Drosophila melanogaster: one gene and its partner. Changing the gene in region 2 together with the main gene of any one other region gives a genetic interaction. Each region holds a gene or a part of one and is shown on either strand. Other genes may lie near its edges.

Region 1 (7,418 bases), on a different chromosome or scaffold from region 2:
GGAAGAGGGTAAAGATGTCAACTCAAGTGGACATCACATGCATCGCGCTCCTGACGTTCGTATTAAAGCCCAACAATAGTACGCTGTCACCAAACCAAAGACATCAGGACTACAAGAGGTCATCCAAATAAACATAAATATTATATTTGAACTTGTCAAGTAAAGTTATTCATATTGAGCACTTGAATATATTTGGTAATTACTAAGGTTATATGTGTTCATATATTTTTCATACACTTCCACCGTGCCTTATTAATTGAGCCGCCTGACTAATAAGGATGCTTCTGTTGCATTTTTATGAGCGGGCTCAAGAACTTCAACCTTCCTGCTCCAGACCCATTTCCACGCCGGTATTCCTGACTTTTCTCGAGCCACAGATCAAAGTGCTATGCAAATGATTGAGGCGTGTGGCAGGCCCAGGCCACCTGCGGAGTTTTCCCGAGTGGAAGGTGAAAAAGTGGGGGCTGGTCGGCACTAATTAAGTTGCAAATGTCATGCGGCAGACGTGGCGACAGTTTAGAGCCCATTAAACGCGACTCTTGGGCCCGAGTAATGCAGCAATAATTGTTTTCATTTCGCATCCATTTGCATTATTTAGGATCCCTCCACTCGACTCAATGACACCCCACACTGTTGCTCAGTTATTTGCATATGTGCATATGAAGATTATATACGCTTTCCCAGCATATCTAAACACCATTTTCGTTTAATAATTGAAGAATTGGTTTATTGCTTAAACAGTATCAATAATATCACTTAAGACCTAAACAAATACAATGCATTCATGGATCTTTGTTAAAATGTTTCTCAATTTCATTAATTTGCGTTGGGTTACACAGACACTTAGGGATAGAGTACGTACGGATATCTAGTGCAACTCTAAGATACATTTCCATCTATGTATATCGGTTGACAGACCCCAAAAAGCTGTAACGCAATGTTAAAAACACCTTTTTCTATATCGAAACGTGTCCTGGAGGATCTGTGTAGCGTGTCTACACGGAACTCAGGGCTTTCGGTATTGGCGACTAACTAGGTAAATCCTTTAACTACATCTATACATCGAGAGAGCTGCTTAAGTAGAGTGTTCTGTGAGACTTCTTAGGGATACGCTATGTACAAAATGCTGCTTGGAGATGTGGGCTGAGCGTTGGGATCATCATCGTCATCATCATCTTCTGAGTGGGGTATTGCACAAGTTGAAACCATTTGGTGGCTGCTGAGGTTCTGCGGGGTGGGTGGAGGTGGACAGGGGTCCTTCTGCCTAGAAGAGACCGTTCAGTGCGCGGACAGCACTGCCCAGAGCAGTGCATCCGAGCTCCGGGGACGGGGATTCGCCGGTATCCTGCCCGGAATTCGAGCTGCTCGCAGCGGCCGCCGCTGCCACAAACTGCAGTCAGTCGATCAGCAGATCGCTCCTGGAGGTGGCCATCGAGGATATGGCCGTGGTGGTGGTGGTCACCGTGGAGCTGGTCGTCGAGGTCGACCCCGTGGAGCTGTTCAAGCTTTCCGCATAGTATCGCTGTCAAAACACCTTGGCTATGAAGGTCTCCGAGAGTCTTTGCTGCTGCTGATGGTGTTGCTGGCTTTGCGGATGTGGCTGCTGCGGCTGGAGTTGCAAGAAGGCGGAGCCACTGGGATAATCGTGAGGTGGAGCCACTCCGAGCTGGTGATGGAAGCCACCGGGCGGATACTGCGAAACGGCGGACCTGGGCCAGGCGGGATTACTCGTCTCGCCGCTGGAAAGTGGCGGTGTGGTGACATTGATGGGCGGCGACATGCTGCCGGAACTGGAGTCCGGCGTGAGTTGACCCGATGCCTGGCCGTAACCGGAGGCAAGTGGCTCCCTGCGCGTGTACTCGCGCCGCCTGTCGTAGGTGGGTGGCATGTCCAGGTCATCCAGATCGCCGCCGATCTCGTGCAGCTTCCGCATGTGCTTCTTCAGATCGAAGTTCCGGCAGAATCCCTTGGCGCAGACGCGGCAGGTGTAGGGCTTCTTGTCGTTGTGCGTGTGCATGTGGAAGGTGAGGTTGTAGACCTGGTGGAAGGCCTTGTTGCAGATGTTGCACTTGTAGGCCTTTTCGCCGCTGTGGGTCAGCTTGTGGTTCTTGTAGTTGCCCTTCTGGTGGAACCCCTTGCCGCAGTACTCGCACACGAAGGGCTTGTAGCCGGCGTGGATGCGCGAGTGGGTGTTGAGGGTGGAGGAGCGATTGAAGGCCTTGCCGCAGGTCTGGCACTTGTGCGGCTTTTCCGACGTGTGGATGATCTTGTGCCGGCAGAGAGTCGAAGCCTGGCGGAATCCCTTGCCGCAGACCTTGCAAACAAACGGCCTGGCTCCGGTGTGGACGGGCATGTGGCGGGTGAGGTTGTAGTGGGCGTTGAACACCTTGCCACATTCCAGGCAGGAGAAGGTCTTGGGCTTGCCGCCACTGGCCGATCCGGGACTGCTGTCCTCGATGGATCCTTGCGGCGAGGGGGAGCGGGATCTGGCTCCAGTGGCGGAAGTGGCAGTAGACGCTGGAGGCGGCGTCACTTCGCCCTGATCCTGCGGCGATCGTTTCCTCTTCAAGTTAGCTTGCAATCCCGAACTCTGGGCTGTTCTCTGGGCCACTGGCGACTTTTCCAGGGTATGTTGCAAATTGGGCACCGCCTGGGATTGGGCCACTGCCGCCACGGCAGCTGCCGCGGCCAGTGGATGACCCAGATTTCTTCTCAGCGACTGCGAGTGATGCAAGCTGGCATTCAGGGATGCGGTGAAGCTGCTCAGGTGGGCGGCGCTGGCCAGCGATTGCTGTTGGGCGGTAAGGGCTGCATATTGGGCGGCAGCAGCGGCGCACATCAGCTGATTGGGTGCATAGTACAGCAGGGGATACTGCGAGAGCAGCTCCTGGTGGCGGGAGCTCACAAACTGCTGCACAGCAGCGGTGCTCGGCGGCGAGGCCACCGATGAAGTGGCGCCCGAACACGGACCCGGCACATACTTCTTGAAAGCGGAGTCATAGTTGACAGTGGATGGCGACTGATCCAGGCTGATCACCTCGATGGGGCTGCAGGAGCGCTCCGAGTCGGCATCGATCTCCGGATCCTCATCCTCGTCGTCATCGTTGGTGGCGAAGGAAACCGGAGCGGGCTGCGGCGGTGGCACTTGGCTGGGCCTGTGATCCGGCTCCATGATCTTGGCTATCGAAAACTTTAGGGGACACGCCCGCTTGGCGCTCTGCTCGTCCTGCTGCTGGCTCTGCTGGGCAGGATTCTGTTCGGAGGCGGCGCTCTCCATCACGGGGCTCTTCGAAGGCGGCATCATTGCGATTTCTCCCGCTGGACTACACGGTTGCATGCCACGCGGACTCTGTAAGAAACGAACAAAGAGCCAAATTGAGTATGCAAACTAAGCAACGGGTTATCAATTAATCGAAGGCATACGCCTCCATTGTTTGTGGCCACAGTTGGGGGGAAATAACTAGGATAAATAACATTTCTGGTTCCCATACCTTTCTAAAAACTTCTTGCCTTCAAAAGCATATATGTAAAGCATATATTTCGGTTTATAATTATGAATATAATAACAACACCTATTCCCAAGTTGCTCGGATTTCAAGTGGTCCCTATTGTTTTGACCGCAGCTGTACGGACTATTTACCGCCTGATCAGTCAAGTGCAACTAATGCGTTGGCAATTCGGGAGCACAAACAAACGCCAGCGGAGGGCGTGCTCCCAGCGGCAGGACATTTCCGCAGGATAATTCAGGGCCAGCCAGCGGGTTGCAATTAAACGCAAACCGCAGTGCGTTCCATAATATTACCCGATCGATTTTGCATACCACGCTATTTGCATTTAACCCGTGCTTTGCCCTGGCTTACACTCCACTTAACCCAAACAAAGACCTCAATCCTTTCGCCAGCATATTGCCATCAATCATAACACAGGCCCAGTAAGCAGTATGCGAATTTTTTGGCGCGGGTCTTGGCTTTATGTGAGATTCATTAAATCGCTTACACTCGACTGGAGGTGTAAGGCCGCCTCGCCGCCTCGCCGGCTCCATCTTCCCCATGTGCCCTCGAGTGTGGCTAATGTGCGACATCCGGTGCGATTACCGACTTCCTTGCCGCTTTTAATTAACTTGATTTGACGCCTCAGCAGGCCCAGCTCCCATCTGGGTCCGCAGTTCGCCCATCTTGCAGTTTCCCTTCCAAAGTGCGCTTTAATCTCATTAAACGAGAGGCGGCAACCATTTCACACGCTGACCCGGAGGCAGCGGCGGTCAGCCCTCGATCCCAAAGTTTCCCGGGTGCCAAACTACTACTACTACGAACGAGTAGTTCCACTTTTAAGCAGCCGAATTATGTTGGTGTTCTAGTGGCCACTTCAAAATTTGCCTCTACGAACGCCACTTGGGGAGTGCGAACCACATCGAGCTTATTAACCAAGTGCGTGGAATAATATTCAATCAACGGAGCACACAGGCACTTGGAAACTTTGTCTTGAGTTGAACAAGTGGCTATGCCCTAGCACATGTTAGAAGTTATGAGATGAAGCTGGCTTTTGATGGGGTTAATCAAAATCATAAGTGTTAAGAATGATGGTAAAGATACAAGACGAAATACTATCTAAAGAGGACATAGACCTATGTAAATGCCTGCTTTTCTTACGAACGTCACGCAAATAGCTTCGAAATGCTTCTAATATGAAAAAGCGAACTTGTACTTTATAGTTTTTTCCTTTTCCCGTCGGAGTTTTGCAATTACAGAGTAATAAATTAAGTTTTTATGTATCGAATACGTACAAAGTAAACCATATTCAGGCACTGCCTATGTGGATATCCAGTTCCCTTGGCAGGCGGCCGATCTCCACTTGTTAGAGGCAAAACACAACAGTTGGCACACACAAATTGAACTTGGTCCTTTTACTTTACTATTTAAAGTTCACTTGTTTCGTCGATAAGGATATACGCTTTTTAAATGCAAATCGAGGGACGCGAGGAACAGGACGCGTTCAGCACAGGATCAGCGACCGAAGCGGAATGAAGGCAAACAGCGAACGGTGCGGGCCTTAAGAAATATGAAAAGGACACACGGCGAGTGCTGGGGTGAATCCTGGCGAAACAACCCCCGAGAGTCCTGCGTGCTGCCGCCGTTGGCGAGAGTGAGAGATGAAATGCATGCCGAGGGAGAGAGAGAGATGGATGCAGACGTCCTGGTCGAGCGACAGAGCGAGATGGATTGATGGGAGCGACGGGCAAAAGGAGAACTTAATCATCACGTTCAGATTGGAGGATATGTCCTGACGCCGACGTCGCCGTCGACTGCGACTGCATTATGAATGAAAAGACAAAATGTCGAATTGGAATATTACGGCGAAAGAGAGAGGCAGTGAGCAGAGACCGCCCCTAAAATATTTATATAGAGATAGAGCTCAAGAGCCCAGGAAGATGATACATAGAGGAGTGACGAGATGGAGGAGGTTCCGCAAAAGAGGGAGCGCACTATGCGTAGCACTCGGCTGCTGGAAAGAGACCGATGGACGGACGGAGAGATGGATGGATGGATGGATGGATGGGCCACCTTTGGCCGTATTCCGTTCACACTTGATTTGGATGGGGCGACACCAGACACCAAGAAATGGCAGCCACCGGCCTCGTGGATGCCTCTCGAGTTGACTTTTTCACTGGCCCACCCCTTTCCCCGTTCCCCGTTCCCAGCGCATCCCCCTCCTGGAAAGCTCATGCCTTTTGTTGGGCGTTTCAATTGTCGTTTTGGCATTTCGTTTTATCAGCGTCTTTGTTTGCTCACCTTTAGCCCGCCAGCGGGCAAGGATTCTTTGATTCTCTCCAATTCTTCATCTTTTTTTGCTATATACAGAGAAAATAATTCACCCGTAATCCAATCAGTAATCCCTATTCTATGTAGGAATGTTAGTCGCAGGATAAGCATCAATCGCCAATTTTTAAAGATTGTAAATTGTATAAAATTGGTTAGATAACTTTATATTATTCTTTAGCTTCCCTGTTCTCTAGGTGCACCTTTCTCATTTGTTTGATTTGAAGCCCCCTGCATCGCCAGCCAGCACTAGTTAAATATAATCCCATATTCATTTTGATGGCATCTCCAGCGCGGCTTTCTTGACTTTGTTTGCTCTGGCAGTGCTTGTCGTCCTGCTCCACCAACTCCATCCGTTTGCAGGACCACGGTCCAGGACCTTTTCTTGGGCAATGCAGGGCACATGGCTGCTTTTGCTGGAGTTGAGCAGTTCAGCAATTGCAGCTGCAAGGCCACACAAAAGCACAACTCTTCGGCGAGTCCGACGGGGAGCGTGGGGGTTTTAGTGGATCCTTCAAGGACTATGGCCGCCATTTCGACTGCATTTTCCGTTAATCTGGCTTGTTGTGCGGCTCTTGTGTGGGGAAATCGATATGCAAATATCAGCTCTTTGTTGATTAGGTTTCCTCATTGGAGTAATGTTGATTGGATGGGTTGAATGTGGCAACCATAAAAACTATTGTACAATATTTGTAAACTATTTGTTTGATTCCTTTGAGATGCCGACGGGTAAATCTACTTTAACATGAAAATTCATGGAAATTCGTAATACTATTATAGGTGTCTTCTACTGCCTAATTTAACAAGCTTCAATATTGTGTGAATAATTCCAATATTTTAGTAAGCATACGTTCGACGAAGCAAAAACAATCCGGTGATTATCCTTGACAAAAAGCGGGCAAAACAGCGTGATTAACTGGAAGCTAAATGAACGGCACATACTGAAATGTGCAATCTGCATTTAGTTGAATAAATAAACGCAGTGAAAAAAGGCAGCAACGAGGGGAAAATAGCAGCACAAACAACAACCAACTGGACATTCAACAAACAAAACGACCACGGCCTATGCAGCTTTTATACACTAACAGAAAAAGTCTCAGTAATAGTTTACATTTGAACTGTTGAACATTTTTCAAAAGAGAATTTAGAAACGGAGTGAAAAATATTAAGCTTACTACTACTACATATTTTTTCTATCTGTAGTTATCTTTGCACCTTATCTCTCTTCCACTATCTCTGCTCCTTTTCACCTCTGTTCATTTCCATTCAAAAGCCATGTAAGCACACACACACACTTAAACGAGTGGCGAGTGGGGGGGGGGGAGTCGTATCCTTGATAAGGACGTGGGGCGGCGAAGGGGTGGCAGAGTGGACTAACTGTAAATGCAGAACGAACTAAACTAAACAACAACAAAGGAACTTGAAAATCCGGCAAAATGTGCAAAAATAAAATATAAAACAAAAAGTGCAAAAGCTGTGCGAGAACGAGAGCAAAGCGCAGATGCAAATGGCGCAGAGTTCAGAGGTCAGCGGGAAAGAGATGCAAACAGAGTGCAACCTCCAGTTGTTGTTGCGTGTCCTTTTCTGCCGCTGTTTTTTTTT
Region 2 (4,887 bases):
TCCGGACTCTCAGTTAGGGTAGGTTTTTGCACATCCTCATCGCTACTGCCATGGATGTGTGTCAGTGGAATACACTCATCTCTGTTTATTTTGGCCAACGCAATTCGAACAATTTGGCAACTGTTTGTTCAGCCTTTGCCAGCGAAAACTCATTTACCTCCGGCTGCACGTTGCTTGGCCATTGTGAAAGGATTCAATTGTCCTTCCGGCAGAGCGATCCCCGATCCCCGAAACCCCGTTCCCGGTCCTGCCAGCAATGCGACGATCCAACGCCGCTCGACAAAGTCACAAAAGTGAATTTTTGCTTTTTAACTTTTCGAATTTCGGGGCGGGAGAGAAAGGATATCAAAACTGGGGCGGCCATTGCACTGCGTCCCTCAGGTTCCCAAATTAATGCCGACTTTGGTCTGTTCATGCAGAAAAACTATGCTAATTTTCCACGGTTTCTTCTGCGATCTAATATTTCTTTGTTCCAGTATTTGCATAATTCATTTGTGATTAACTGGGTTGCCCTGTGCGGTTGCTTTGTCGTCTCTAAGGATGCGAAAAGCCTCACGAAATGGCCATAAAAAGAATGATAATTCCGTGTGTAATCTCATGATTCCATGTTTGGCATAACACTTTCAGCTGCTTACAAAAGTTGCGCAAATAACTAGGACCTACTTCTTGTTTAGTTTAGATATATTTTTTCTAAGCATAGCTTTTGAAAACCAAAAGACCTTTCAAATAATGTGAATACTACGTTTTTTCATTTAATTAATGAAATATATTTTTTCAAGTTTAAAACTTCCGATAGTCCAAATCCAAGTTCTGAAACTGTCAGTTCCATTTCTTCCAAAATATTGCATCCACCCAAAAAGACCCATTAATGTTCATTTCGAAAACCTTTAGGTTTATTTTGAATAATTATTTTTCCAAATCCTAAAGCTAATAATATGCGCTTAAAACTAAAGTGTTTAAAACTACGATTGACGTATTTAACAGGCAAAGTTGAAACTTTTGCGAATGCAATTTGAAACACATCTGGATGGTCTGAGAGACTTTAGCTAAGATTACTTCGAGTTCTGTTTAGGTAAGGTATTAAGGTGAGTGTTGTGTACGTATTTTAAGGCTCGACTCCTGGATATGAGAAATCGTTGATTTCACTGATCGAGTATTGTCCAAAGCGCTTCTTCCGAGATTATCACAGTTCCCAGCACTTGGAAGGCACTTCGAGTGCGGCGATTAGTCTAGGCTCTACATACTTTTCAGATCTTGCGCTGACTGTACATGTCGGAGATGAGGCGCACAATGGTGATGTCGCCGATGGTCTTTCGGAAGAACAGCTCCTCGATGGTGAAGCTTGAGACCTTGTGCATCAGCTGCACCACGCCCAAGAGCGTCTGGAATCGCATGGGCTGCGAGGGATGGGTCCTCTGGATGTAGTTGTGCAGCGCACTCCGGGCATCGTTGTGCATGGCCGCCACTTTTCCCGACTCCAGAAGACCCCTGGATTCAGCAGAGGCCGAGGAGTTCGGGCTGCCGCTTCCTGTCAGGATTGAGCTGTTGGCTAAATCCTCGGTAGAACTTGCCGACGGTGGTGACTTACGGAAGAGCGAAATAGCCCTCAGACACTCGTACTCGGTGCTGTCAATGTTCAGATGGCACAGTTGGTTCAGCACCTCCTGGAAGGCGTGCACCTCGCGGGTCACCATGCCCATGATCTCCCGGTTGGCATTCTCGGACTCGTAGACGAACAGCAGCTGGGCGAAATTCATGGGCATTAGGTACTGGGCCATGGCCAGGATGAAGAACTCCTTCCAGGACTCCTCCAGCAGGAGCAGCTGATCCGGCATGGGCAGTTCGGTGAAGGCCCGTACGCTCTTGATCCAGTTGACGTTCTTGAATAGGTGTTCCGCCGCGGTTTCCTTGATGTGCTCAGCTGCCATCAGCGGAGGAGTGGGGGGCAGGGCCCGAGTGGCCAGGGCATTCATGTAGGCGGCGGTGGGCGAGAAGAAACCGTGGTGTCCTTGGTGCACCGGGTGATGGGGCACTCGTGGCACGGATAAGTCCAAGACAGCGGCAGCCGATGGTGGCGGCTGGAAGGCAGCCATGTGAGCAGGATGATGACCAGCCCTCTGGGGCAGGCCAGGCATGGGCATCGGTACTCCAGGAAAGCCGGTCAAGGCAGCCGTGTTCATCAGAATTTCGGCGGGTATTTGTGGCATCTCGCCGGCGCCCATCATGGCATCCTTGTACATGGCCATGTGGCGACGCAGAGTGGAGTTCCGCGGTCCCCGCTCGTGCTGCACTGCATCCTTGTTCATTCCGACCTCAAAGCACTTCCTCAGTCGGCAAGCCCTACATTGGTTCCTGTGCGTCTTGTCCACCACACAGAGTCCCTGCTTCTGCGACTTGCACACATACTGCCGGGATCTCCGAATGCTCCTCTTGAAGAATCCGGCGCAGCCATCACAGGCGTAGATGCCGTAATGCTTGCCGGAGCTGTGATCTCTGCAGACTTTGCAGGGCACATGGTATAGAATGCGACCTGGAAATTCAAGAAGGGGGGAAAGTTGGTATAAGTAAAGGATTGTCTTAATTTTATATATTAGGAAGATTGTTTTCTTCTTTTTTCATTGCTATCTGATTTTTTTTTTTGCTATACTTACTCGATGCCGCTGGCGAAAGACGCACGCTGTTGTATTTCTGATCCATCATGTCTGGTGAACCCTCCGACGACTGCATACCGATGTGGGGCGTAATTTTGGCGATTTTTGTAGAAACGCTTGCACAAATTGAATTTCACTTGGCACTGGTGTATCTTTGAGTCGTTTTGGATTTTTGTTTTAACGGTTTGGGTGGACGGCGGTATTGCGGATTGTGTGATATATTCGATATATCCTTGGTTACTCCGATGTGGACTCGCTGAGATCACGATGGGTTGTGTTGTCTGCTGTGAGGACCGCCGGCGTTTTAATAGTCCTGCAGACCAAATCCATTCATCGAGCAGTCGATCACCCTTAGGTAGACAAACTCCGCGTTCATTGGTCGAAACTCGGGAGAGGGTTGCTTCTAATGCCCTCTCTCGCATATCCTCTCTCACTCTCCCCTGGAGAATCCTTCGATCCTGCGGCAGGCTGCCATTGCGAAAAATTCATTGAGCAAGGAACGCAGCAGCCGTCGCTCATTCTCATTCTCAATTCTTTCGGTTTTTATGGCCCTTTTCCGCAGGATTCACTACCTGCTCTCTCACGCGAACTCCTCGTCCGTCTGCTACCCTCTCTCGCAGCAGAGAATCTCTGCCCGTCCTGCGACAGTTGTTAATGAAGAGATATCCTTCCATATCCATGGCCGAGTATTTTATGGCGCTGCCATTATTGCCGCTTTGTGATTTGTGTGAAGTACCTGTGGGTTCGCTTCTAGTCCTGCGAGGCGAGTCCTTTTCGAGTGGCGATAGTAGCAGCAGGGGTTGAATACCACGCACTATTGATTGTTTTCCATTCAGTAATTAGGTTTTTATGATGCAACCATATAAATGTTTAGGGAAATGATAAATCTAAAGACTTTGATAGATATCAGATTGTACAGATTTCTTGAGCTTATCAATTTTACACAAATCTGAGTATGAATTTTGTATCGTAATTTTTAAAAAATGTACTCAACATTTTTTAATTAAGAAAGTGCATTATAATGTTGAGCATCTAAACAAATTCTTCGATTCCCCCATAAAATTAAATTTTGGAATAACTTCTGCTAACCAAATACAACGTATTTCCTATATAAAATATATGCACTGATTAAAATAAAAAACAAATATTTGCATTTCTTAGCCAGCTTTGGCAACTTTTTAGGTTCAATCTAAAAATACTTTATGAAAATTATTGCGGAGCTCAGATTGCGTTTTTAATAATAATTTTTATAAATGCTTAATAAATAAAATTATTTTAAAGTAAACCCAAAACGGAGTTGTTAAAATCAAAGGTTCATGTTACTAAAATGGGAGCTAGCCATTTGAGATAGTAGCTCCCGCGGCTGAGCCAGATTAGGCGTTGCCTTTTGAGAGCCTTTAGGATTCAAGTGGACAGTGCCTCTAATCTCGCTTGGTCCTGCCAAGTCCCGAAGGACCCACCGATTCCTCGACTTAAGCTCGCCGCTTAAGCAGATTACGGATTTTAGATCGCGGGAGTGGTACTGCCTGGAAAAGGCACGCTGGTCGGGAGGCTGCTAGATCAAGCTTTTCTGTCTTCGGGATCAGCGAATTCAAAAGAAAGACATTGTGCGAGGTCCCAGCATCGGGCGAGTACTTAATAATGTTAAGCAAGATCCTGTAAGTCTGGTGCGATTACGCACCAACGCCTAAGGCCATGTGATCCTGATCCAGGACCTCGAACGTGGGAACAGCTCTCTGCTCGAACGGACTCGAATGCAGAAGGGCGGAGATGCAAATGCAATTCATTTGATATACGATAGACACTTGAAAAGAGCAATTATATTTCGATTCGTATTACGGATGCGTAACTTGATCAATAAAATGCTTGACATGATATCAACAACAGTCGCCAGGGGTTGCAATGTCCAGGGGTTCTAATTGGACTAGTCAACCCCTGGATGATGCTGAATCGGAGGGGGTGGTTAATTGGAACTCAGGTGTGCTGCATGGGAATTCGCTTGCGTGTGTTGCTATTCCGATCATTAGCTGGACTTCCATGGGGGGAGGATGCTCTACTAAACCAGATGACGATGACATATCAATTTTTGACATTCCCTTGACCGTTCATTGAGTTTGAAGTAATTATAATTGTGGGAACTCGTGAATATGCAGATGAGGAGGCTGCATCTGTTCGATCTTCCCACGTTGTATGAGTATGTTCACAACTAAGCGAAAATTTAGTCATTGCTTTTAAC

Evidence for each region. Genes that interact genetically often act in the same process or in processes that back each other up.
Region 1: of tll (region 2) and erm, changing one enhances a phenotype caused by changing the other (phenotypic enhancement), as found in Drosophila melanogaster (one study listed by BioGRID).

What each region holds. Positions count from the first base shown.
Region 1 is NT_033779.5:1,949,531-1,956,948, forward strand, and holds erm (earmuff), read right to left. Parts: upstream 5,024-7,418; 5' UTR 4,796-5,023; coding exon 4,784-4,795; intron 3,350-4,783; coding exon 1,526-3,349; coding exon of another isoform or gene 1,265-1,525; 3' UTR 709-1,264; downstream 1-708.
Region 2 is NT_033777.3:30,850,387-30,855,273, reverse strand, and holds tll (tailless), read right to left. Parts: upstream 2,960-4,887; 5' UTR 2,728-2,959; coding exon 2,652-2,727; intron 2,531-2,651; coding exon 1,248-2,530; 3' UTR 874-1,247; downstream 1-873.